3 linked regions of the Oryzias latipes genome follow. The protein of the gene in region 2 purifies or fractionates together with the protein of the main gene of each other region. This does not show direct contact. Links are inferred from orthologs where the notes say so. Each region holds a gene or a part of one and is shown on either strand. Other genes may lie near its edges.

Evidence for each region.
Region 1: the proteins of cand1 (region 2) and cul2 purify together in Homo sapiens (affinity purification with western blotting; 7 studies listed by BioGRID and IntAct, with this or other methods). This does not show direct contact. The link is inferred for Oryzias latipes from reciprocal best matches to the Homo sapiens genes CAND1 and CUL2.
Region 3: the proteins of cand1 (region 2) and dcun1d3 purify together in Homo sapiens (affinity purification with western blotting; 3 studies listed by BioGRID, with this or other methods). This does not show direct contact. The link is inferred for Oryzias latipes from reciprocal best matches to the Homo sapiens genes CAND1 and DCUN1D3.

The regions. Positions count from the first base shown.
Region 1 is NC_019878.2:9,081,678-9,085,331, reverse strand, and holds part of cul2 (cullin-2), read left to right. Parts: intron 1-1,934; coding exon 1,935-2,021; intron 2,022-2,105; coding exon 2,106-2,258; intron 2,259-2,337; coding exon 2,338-2,415; intron 2,416-2,495; coding exon 2,496-2,562; intron 2,563-2,645; coding exon 2,646-2,848; intron 2,849-2,946; coding exon 2,947-3,048; intron 3,049-3,158; coding exon 3,159-3,275; intron 3,276-3,654.
Region 2 is NC_019881.2:23,312,226-23,315,162, reverse strand, and holds part of cand1 (cullin-associated NEDD8-dissociated protein 1), read right to left. Parts: intron 2,375-2,937; coding exon 2,231-2,374; intron 2,160-2,230; coding exon 2,024-2,159; intron 1,957-2,023; coding exon 1,780-1,956; intron 1,700-1,779; coding exon 1,604-1,699; intron 718-1,603; coding exon 548-717; intron 1-547. UniProt on the Homo sapiens protein: Key assembly factor of SCF (SKP1-CUL1-F-box protein) E3 ubiquitin ligase complexes that promotes the exchange of the substrate-recognition F-box subunit in SCF complexes, thereby playing a key role in the cellular repertoire of SCF complexes.
Region 3 is NC_019877.2:9,531,383-9,535,698, forward strand, and holds the start of dcun1d3 (DCN1-like protein 3), read right to left. Parts: upstream 2,916-4,316; 5' UTR 2,536-2,915; intron 1,525-2,535; 5' UTR 1,456-1,524; intron 288-1,455; exon of another isoform or gene 233-287; intron 157-232; 5' UTR 50-156; coding exon 1-49. UniProt on the Homo sapiens protein: Contributes to the neddylation of all cullins by transferring NEDD8 from N-terminally acetylated NEDD8-conjugating E2s enzyme to different cullin C-terminal domain-RBX complexes and may play a role in the cell cycle progression by regulating the SCF ubiquitin E3 ligase complex, after UV damage.

The sequences.
Region 1 (3,654 bases), on a different chromosome or scaffold from region 2:
CATATTTGAATCCGTCCTTCTGCCGTCTGTGCCCCAATTTGAGCCAATCTGAAAATCCCTGTCAAGTAGAACAGAAGACAGTGTTTCCTTTCTACGTCGCAGTTCATCTTTTGCGGTTTCGCTCACTCGTTAGAGAGATCATGCTCTTCTGTGTCCTGATTGGTTGGATATCTTGTCAATCAATCTCCTCCATGCCGTGTCTCCTTTACAGAAACACGGAGCTTTTCAGATCTACAGAAATCTTTGATCTTTGTTTTCATTCTAAGATCCTGGACTTAATTACTATAAAGGTTTGAACTTTGAGAATTTAAACAAGAGAAAAAAGTGGGAAAATGTTCATGTCTGTCTGAGAAAGAGGGCAGTGAGGAGTTTTACCGCCAATAAACTTCTGTAATCCTACTCCGGAGATTTCCTCGTTCACGGTTATTTTTAGAACGTAACTCCTGAAATAAACAAGGAAACACTGTGCTGGTGAAAAGGTCACGCAGATACATGTCCAGCTGCAGCAGAAGACCTAAGAATTTGACTTTTTTCATCATCACTGGATGAGAAACACGCGTGCAGCTTACCTACCTTGTAGAACTGTATTTCAAAGAAAGGACTTTATGTTTACCAGTTTGAAGGAGAAACAAATGTTAAGTTAAATGCCATGTGGTCGAGAAGGGTAGGTACACTACCTTCATGCTGGGGCACCTAAGATAAAAAGTTAGGTACAACCAGTGCAAAAATTCTAGACCCTAGAGTCTAGAGCCCCGCCCTCAGAAGTTCATACAGCAGACATTCGCAATGGAAACCAGCCAACATTAGAATGAACTAGACTGGGTGATTGTGGATACGATTGATGCGATGGCTGGTCGCTGTGAAGTATAAACCGGCGTGAGGGACAAACAAAATTTATTTATGTTTTTTTTTACGTTTTATGTTTTTGGATTTTGTCTTTTTTTTACCACATTTTGCCACATTTTAACCCAGGCATCTAGTCATACATGCTATAAAAGAAAATGAATGTGGTCTGCCCTAAACGTTTCCCTGCTTACATCTATCAAGCCCGTCCAATGTCACGCCCCCAAGAGCCATGTACCCCACCGTGATTGGTCGGCTCGTCAGCTCTGCACACAACACTGTAAAAGTGCCGTTCATGCAAAACTCGTACTGACGTTAAACTTTCATATTAAGTTGGGGGCTGCAAATATCACCTGTGGGGTTTGAAAAATCCTGCAGGCCGCCAGTTTGAGACCCCCTGCTTTACTTTTTACTCTTTAACCCCTAAATAACAGGCTCTTTGAACTACCGTAACTCTTTGATGTTATGCACAACAAATGTGATTCCAACAGATTAGGACACAGAAATGCAACATTTTATGTAATGCAACGACGTAAAGCTGCACTTCTTTGCAACAGAATCAGGTGATTTACATCTACTTTATTACTGTAAAGTGTTGCAAATCAGCGCAAAGCCTCTTTTTTCAGCCTCAGAATCCATTGAAATTGCGTTGATTGCGTGAACGGGTGAAGAGTTTTGCATCGTTCACACTGAGCACGACTCGCACGCTTTTCTTTTGACGCTGGTTTCTGAGACAAGCTCTTAAACAAAGATCCTGATTGGTTGATGCAACTTGTCTTTGTCTTCAAAGTTCAAATAATTGAACTCCTGACATGCTGTGACGCCCAAAACACGGGGCTGTCCGGCTGCTGCAATTAGGACCTCTGATTGCATCTGTGCATCGACTTGACCTTGAAACTGGACGCCGCTGACACATAAATTGGCGTGAATATAGCGTTACGCTTGTCCAAAGAGTGTCAGCACTAAATCTTTGGTGTCAAAAGGTTAAGCTGCTGTCTTCAGATATTGAAATGTTTCGGCCCTGGGTGGGATGGCCATTAAACCCTTAATGTGTCGTTTAACTATATAGACTATTTCTCTGTTTTCTGCAGTTTTATGCCAGAATGTTAGCAAAGAGGTTAATACACGGCTTATCGTTGTCGATGGATTCAGAAGAAGCCATGATCAACAAACTAAAGGTAAATTCTGAGCGGTCGGATCCTTGTTTGCCAGTTTTTGTGTGCTTGTTCCTCACTTTCCTAATGCCCCTTCTGGCTTCGCAGCAAGCCTGTGGCTATGAGTTCACCAGCAAACTCCACAGAATGTACACAGACATGAGCGTCAGCGCCGACCTCAACAACAAATTCAACAATTTCATCAAGACTCAGGAGACGGTGGTGGACCTGGGAATCAGCTTCCAGATCTACGTTTTACAAGTACGTGGGGGCAAAGTCGGGGTTTTTTTTTTGCATACACACATAGCAGTTTGTTGACATTTTTTCGGTCTCGTTTCAGGCTGGAGCTTGGCCCCTCACACACGTCCCCTCCTCGACATTCGCCATCCCCCAGGAGCTAGAAAAGAGTGTGCAGATGGTGAGCTGCGCTACTGAGCTGTAGACCGAAAGGAGCGATGACAAGAGCACGCTTTTGACTCCACCCCTCTTTTTTTCTAGTTTGAGTTGTTCTATAATCAGCACTTCAGTGGGCGGAAGTTGACTTGGCTGCACTACCTCTGTACAGGTACCAAACAGTTGGACTTTAATGTGTTTACCGCTGAGAAAACCAAACCTGGGCCAGTTTCAGCTGCAAATTTTCTCCAACAGGCGAAGTGAAGATGAACTACCTGTCCAAGCCCTATGTTGCCATGGTAACCACCTATCAGATGGCTGTGCTGCTGGCCTTTAACAACAGCCAGACGGTGACCTACAAGGAGCTACAAGACGGCACCCAGATGAATGAGAAGGAGCTCCAGAAGACCGTCAAGTCCCTCCTGGATGTCAAAATGCTAAACCACGATTCAGAAAAGGTTTTTGATTTCCCTTTTGCTCGACCGTTTCTAGGTGACAACTTTGCTTCAACCTGTGAAATGTTCATTCGAATGCGTCACCCCTTCTGTCTCCACAGGAGGACATTGAAACGGAGTCTACGTTTTCGTTAAATATGAGTTTCACCAGTAAAAGAACAAAGTTTAAGATCACCACATCCATGCAGAAAGACACACCGCAGGTCAGAGAATCGCTCTCTCTACCTTCCAGCTTTTCTCTGCACGGTTAGCGTGTAGTAAAACAGCCAGATTACGGATGCCGCCGGCGCTTTGTGTCCCTGTGACTTTTCAGGAGATGGAGCAGACGAGGAGTGCCGTAGATGAAGACCGTAAAATGTATTTACAAGCTGCTATAGTGAGGATCATGAAAGCTCGCAAGGTCCTCCGGCACAACGCCCTCATCCAGGAGGTGAGTGGAGATCGCCGTCATTCCAAACGCCACCTGCAACATGGAAAACTGCAGGAACAAGTTGATCCTTTGACGTAATAACTACTTGGTTTTAAATTATACATTAAAACATTAAGAATTCAGTTTAAAAATAGAGTTTACGTTATTTCTAAATATCCTTTATTTTTATCCCCCAAATGTTTCCTGCACATCCCGTCCATTTATGTCACTGAATTTGTTTGTTACAGTATTTCCCATGAGTATTTCTCTTTAATGAACTTGTTTGTTTTTATTCGTTTTTTACGGTGGCCGACAGGCCTCACACTACGTACATAGAAACAACACAACAGCATTACCCGCAACGCAACGGCATAACCGCAGCACAACGGAAATGAGGACT
Region 2 (2,937 bases):
TAAGTGAGCGACACGGCCGCCCGCCGGAGGATTTTGTGTTGGGGGGGGGGGTTTATTACGGTTCTCCTTCACTCTGTAACACCAAACATGAACGCTCACTGTTAGATATCATGGATATCACTACATGTTTTGTTTGGGAACTATTTTGTGCAGCGTAACGTTACGTGTCTGTATGAACAAAGGTGGAGCGTCCTGCCCCGCAGCTAGATGCAGCTAGAGAGCAGAAGAATCAACACGCACCCCCAACACACGTGTGTGTGCTCCTTCCTCACACACACACAGCGCGCTGACACACACACACACACAGTATGTACATCTTTAGAGTTAGTTCATTAGTTAGACAGGTAGTAGTTAGTTGTTACTGTTATTTGTTAATAAAAAAAACTGCGTTGTAATTGTATTCATTTGCGACGCGGCCGCTGGGGGATTTTGTGTGTGTGTGTGTGGGGTGGGGGGTGCAGTTGACCGTGACACCGCGCCCCCGGCTGGTTCATCACCGCGGTGATCAAAACCCCCCCACACCGTCACAGCTGTAGTTCTGACCCACCTCTCGGATCAGCTCCTTCCTCACTTTGGTCTCGTTGTAAAGGTGGGTCAGAGTCGAGTCCAGCAGCTCTCGGATCAGACTGGGTTTGTTGTGGGCGGCAGAGTTAAAGGTTACCAAGGCAACGCGCCGCACGTTCAGGTCCGGGTCCTCCAGGGTCTTCAGGAAGTCACCTGGGAGCAAACAGCCAATCAGAGGGCAGAGCATCCCTCGATGAACCATTTATCTTAATAAACAGGATTTATAGAAAAAAAAGCACTTTCAACATTTAAAAACATTAATTACATTTGTGACAAATGAGTCGTTAAATAACAGGTAAGAAACCTTTCAGAATAAAGTCTAATTTATTAAAAACTAAAAGATAATTTTCAGACATTTTTCATCACTTCTAATATCTAACCTGGATATTTTTTAAAGAAGTTATTTAAAACTACAAAAATGGAGATCACTGAAGATCTACATTCTGATCATTTGGATGATCTGCTCCAGAAATCCTGGACCTCTGGTCTGAAACGGCGGCCTGCACAGAGTGGGCGTGGCTTCATTTCACGCTCGTCATTTAACTGCAGACCCAGCGGAGGCCGAATTTTAGGGCTGAGCCTCATGATGGTTTGATTATTGGGACAAGAAAACCAGAAACAAACCTCCATCTAGCTACGACTAAAACCTAATTCAGCTGACTGTGGGAGGGGCTGAGTTACAGGCTGCAGCATCAGCTAATCATTAAAACGAGCAAAAACAAAACCTGCCTCAACTCTCCAAAACCTCACGATAAAGCTTTCAGTGGCATTGCTAGCTGCTGCTGAACGTGTTTCTGAAAACAAAGAAGATTGTTTGGATTTGTTGTAACTTCAAGCAGGAAGGAAGATTTTTACATAAAGAAGCTAAAGATGGTTGAAAATGCATCAAAGTGGAAAAACAATCAGACAGGAGTCATTTAGAAAGTTGGCCATAACGCAAGGCTGTGTGCCAACGCCAAATGAAGCGCACGGGTGTTCTGAACATGCCGGCAGAGCCCGGAACCCTGAAGTTCTGACGGTTGAGGCGGTTCTGGTTTACCGATGCAGTTCTTGAGCAGAGGGTCGATGGGCTGCGGCTGGTCGGAGATGGTGAACTTAACCGCTGTGACCACGGAGCTCCTGGCGTACGAGGAACCTGCAAACATCAGACGTCAGGTTGGGTTCTTTTCGGACACGGTTGGCCAAAGGGGCGTCGGCCTGGGATGCAGCAGTCACCTGACAGCAGGTACCCTTTGAGGCGGGGCAGCAGCGTTTCTGGGTCGATCAGTGTCAGTTTCCCCAAACACTCGGCCACCACGTTCCTGGTTCCCTCCTCCTGACACTCGCAGTGCTTGAGCAGCAGCGACCAGACGGACTCCACGTACGGCTTCAGGCCGGACACGGACGCCGAGCCTGAAGACAGCGGCGGGTCAGAACCACACACGGACCCGCGGACGGGTTCACTCACGGCGGTACTCACTGATGATCTCTTTGAGCGAGTGCAGCAGCAGGTACTGCCTCTTGGAGGAGGAGATCTCCTGCAGGACGAAGGGCAGATACTCCGGAAGATTCCCCACGGCGATGCTGCCCAGAGCGTAGGACGCCGCCGACTTCACCTGAACCACAAACGGGAACTCAGCGCTTCCACGGCCGCAGAGCCAAAGCGGCGCGCGGACGCGAGGATTACCTCTTCGCTGGAGGATGAAAAGGCGTCCAGGATGACCGTCTTCAGCTCGGGTTGGCCGCTGAGGTCCACATGGTGTCCCACCTCGCCCAATGAGAGCAGAGCCAGCAGACGAATGGAGTCTGTGGAGCGGCTGTTCTTCACATCCTGCTCAAAGGAAAGCGCCGCTCATGAACCAGGAAGTAGTCCTGACCTCTGCAGTGAAAACTCAGACACTGAAGCGGAGTTTCTTCGAGTTACATCTCAGACTTTAAGACGTCACGTATGACAAATGACGCCAACTGTCTGCCTGACCGCAGCCCTCTGGAGGGAAAAACTAAACCCTTGAACTTCAGAACAAGTTCTTGTCAGTAACAGAGTAACGTAATAGATTACAGTTCCTAGACTACAGAAACCCTCGTGACTTTTTCCTCACATTGTGGGGCAGTCGGTAACCAAATCACAAAAAAAGAAATTCAGTTTTTTCCTGGAGATGAACTGCTTTCCACTGTCGTAGTGCCAATGAGCAACCTGTCTCTACAGTATGTAGGCCACTGAATCAGACGATGCTAGATGTGTTCATGTGCTGAAATGAATGAGGTGGTGCCGTTTGTATGCGGGTAGAAAAAGTAAAGAGTAGTGAATTACTTTGTAAACTGGTGAATTTAGGCACCTCAAAAAGACGAACCTTCAAATCCAGAAAATTCATATGAAAAAATTTGAACTGCAAT
Region 3 (4,316 bases), on a different chromosome or scaffold from region 2:
TGCCGAGTGTGGACGCTGGATTCTTACACTTGGTGACGCACTGGCCCATGTCTCTCTCACTGGTCCCTCTCCCTTCCTCCTCACATTCAGTCCCCGTCCGAACCACCTAAACGCCTCTGATCTGGCCAGGCGAGACGTCTCAACATACCCTCAGGCCTGAAATGGAGAACACTCATCACTGACAGAGTGAAGCATTAAACAAGAATATCAAAGAAAGAAAAAGTGAAGCTACCTGTGCTAGATCTGTCATAAACCAAAACTTTAATTGGAGAAGTTAAACTCTCTCTCTCTAAAAAAAAAAAAAAAAAAGTTATTACAGTACATAAAATAAAAGCGCAACATATATTTCTGATAAAACACTGATAGATAAAAAATAAAACAACATATCACAAAAAAAATTTTTTTTTTTGGTTGCCCCCAATAATTATGAATTGGTAGCACTAAAATAGTTGTAAAAAAAATTCCACTACAAGAAAATTAAGCACTTCAAAAATACAAGCCAATATTATTTCAATTTCAAAAAAATGTATGCTTAAATTTAGGTTTAAAAGAAATAGTAGTTTTGAATAGGTCAGTCCATCTGATTGACTGTACTTTTTTTCCTTTAATTTGTTGAGCATAATTTTGTGTTTAACAAATATAAAACTTCATTAAGTGTATTATGTCTTTGTCAGGGCTCTTTAGATAAAGTAAAGTTGTGGCTTCAAGTCTTTGAAAGCCTCTTTACCATCTTTCTGTCCTAAATTTTTTTTTAAAACAATAAGAGGGAAGAGAATGTCTCAACCTGAAATGGAGTTTCAACATTTTAGTTTTCAAAAGGGAAGCACTTGTTCATGAAGTAAGGCTTTCACATATTAGAGTTTCTTACAACCAGATTTTTATGAGGAACTGCAAACATTTCTTCAGAAAATTACAGAATTCAAAGAAAAGTCCACGTCATGAATTAATCAAAACACTAATCGTGTGACATTGTAACCTGACTGATGAACAGCGAAGGGTGGATCAACAAACTGGAGAAAGTAAAGCAGAGAATTGCTCTGAGACTATGTGAATGTAAATATCCAATGTTTGCATTTGATCCTGTTTCCTGTGTCACACTGAGATTTTGTTGAATCCCTCAACTGCTGTGATTAGTTGAGTTTTCTTTTATGCGTTTAACCTGTTTGTCTGGCCTGCAGAGACCTGGCCAAGAAGTCTGATGATGAATTTTAATGCCTGAACATTTCATAATATGGTTAATCAGTCTTATAAGTTCATTTATAGGAGTAGTGGATAAAAGGGAACTGTATTCAAATCTTCCATAGCACATTCTCATGACAAATGTGAGTACCAACGATGTGGAAACAGTACATGTGACTCAGGAGCTCAGCATTATCTTTATTCTAAGTAAAGTTAGCACAAAACAAATGAATTAAATGAGAACTAATGTGAGTAGCTAATGAGGATGTTACTTACAGATACTCATCGTGATGGCATTATCTTTCAGTTCTGCGCCATCATTGTGACCTTGACATCACTGCAAAGCTGAAAAGACACATTATCTTGTCATCAAGACCACAAAGTGATGACTCACCGTTGCCACACTTCCAGGGATTATTGTTATTATGGTTTGGGTCTATGCAGTTTGAGCACAGCTAAACTGTTATACCTTATTGCACAATGATGCAATTGCATACTGGTGGGGGGCACACAGAGCTGACCTACTGTAATCAGTTAAGGGCCTCTATTGTTCTAAGGTTTTCTGTTTTGTAAAGACAAAAGTCAAAACACACGCAAAATCATAGCTTTGCTCGAACGTTAAGGTGGGGAGTTTAAAACTAAAAGGGGGAAAAAAAACTTAAGAGGCATGATCGCTGAGTCAGGACTTAAGTCACAACATGATGAGTAGGATATTCTAGAGCAGAGCAAATCCTGCTCTGATCAATGCTCTAGGCATGTTCGGGCAAGTCTTTCAGGTCATCAAGCTCCCCCAAGATGAAGGCCAACATATTCACCATAAACTAGCAGGACACTTAATTAGTAAGCACCAAGTAAACTAATCAGACATTAGTTTAACCAGATTAGCTAGTCTTAAAAGAGTCCTAGTAGACAAAGTAGATTTAGAACACGCCTGTGCAACATCTGCACCGCTGTTATTGCAACACATTAACTAATGAGTTATTCGAGTATGTCTAACATTAAAAGGTCGAGTTAATTTGTTATGAAGATCCAAACACTTTGAGAAAATTAAGAGCTCAACATCACATGACATGTAGTACATCCCAAATGAAAGGTAAACAATGTTTAAGCAGTCATAACGACCAATACAGTAACACCCTACAGTGACACACTGTGCTACATTTAAAAACACAAGCACTGAACGACAATACTTTCCCATCAATGGGTCATTTTCACTCTTACATTTAAAACTGACTGGCCCTGGCTACGTCGCCATAGCTAGCTAGCATCAGCTTGGATCACTAAAAGTTAGCTATCTGCTATGCTAGCTCCTTTCCGACTGATAAGTACCCTAAATATAAGTGAAAACAAACTTACCTAATTGAAAAGACAGTTTCTCGTGTGGTGGATGGATTGACATCGCTACAAAGAGTGCCAGTTAAATTAGGTAACAAAGTAAGTTAGCCGAAAGCGACTACAAGCGAACTGAGAAACTCGTCGCGTTAACTCAGATTGCTAGCTTTAGCGGTGAGCTGACAAAAAAAAGGAAAAAAAAAAAACTTCTACATTAATGTCTGATTCTAGACGACACGCAGAGGGAAGGAAAGGCAAAAATAATGAAAAAAAAATAAATATTTTTTTTTAAACTGTTTTTAGCTCTGTTTGTTGACTGAAAAAAGTGAAAAGATAATCTTGGACTAAAGCACTCTGCTTCTTTGTGCTCTCCCCCTTTAAGTCATTGAGTGTAGCAACGTTATGGGCATTTACTGCATCACTTCCTCCCTCCCTGCAAGCAGCCAACAGCTGATCTTCGTCTGAACGGGGGTGTAACGCCAAAGTTTGTGACCAAAAACCTTAAAGATTTCAATGTGTGTGTCGTGTGACCCATCAAACTTTGTGACCTAACTAGGGTCACCAAAATGTCCTAGAAATTTGTATTCTTTCTGGTATACATTTGGGTTACAGGTATTAACCTTACATATAAGTGACAATTAAATTGAATTTCAATTTTTTGTAAATATTTATAACAAAGAAATGAAATGAATCTTTGGTTAATGGTTAAAAAAACAACAACAACAACGTTTTTCGTGTGTGTATGTGTGTGTGTGTGTGTGTGCGTGTGTGTGTGTGGGGTGTGTGTGTGTGTGTGTGTGTGTGTGTGTGTGTTGTGTACCAACAGTATTAATGCAGTCATATACAATTAAGCTAGTACTTTTTTGGAACCCATCAAAATGTTTATTCATTTCAAATTTAAATGATATGGATGTATGATTGAATAGAAAACCTAAACTGTTTAGACACATATCTCAAGATAACAATGTTTAATTTTAGTATGAATTTCTGTGACTTAAAAAAGAAATCAACCAAATCAAAGGTTGGACCTTCATTTATTTATTTAGGTTATTAAAACATAGCACCAAACGAAATGATTTCTTTACAACAAACCTAATGTTTGTAAATGTAAAATATCCAAATACCACCTGCAGGTATAATTGAATTTAGGCATACTACAAATTGAAACTCATATTTATGTACTAATAATGCTTAAATATATTTATTCAAATATAAGATATGCTTTTAGTAATACATTGGAGCAGTACTGGCAATGGTCAATTATCAATAATAGTGCACTCATATTGTTGGTCGCTTATTCAGAAGATGGGTTTAACTATAATTTTTCATATACAATCGAAATTATTTAGAATTATTGACAAAAAAATTACAATAAGTTTTTGTGGAGAAGGATAGTCTTGTTGGGTCTCTCTTTAAGTTATTGGTTGTTTCACAAATGCTCCTTTAATTATTATACTTTCGTTTGAAATATATTTCCTTGGTTAGTCCTTTTACCCTGAAGATGTTCTTTATGTGTATTTGTTTTAAAGTATATTAAGATGTTTCACAAGACAATCACTCCTTAATTGAACGGACAATCCTCACATGCGAATTTGTTATTTGTAGTTATTAATAAAGTTTTATTTGAAGACGTCATCATTGAGCGACAGAGTTTTTTTCTCCTCTGTTGTCCTAGCAGGCTTATTAAACAGGTAGGTTAAATTTCTACCTAGCTTTTGATAAATTTTTGTGATTTATTTGCAGTTATATTGACTATTTAGAGTGACAATTTTTATGTGTTGTTTCTTGTATTTTAGGGTTTAACT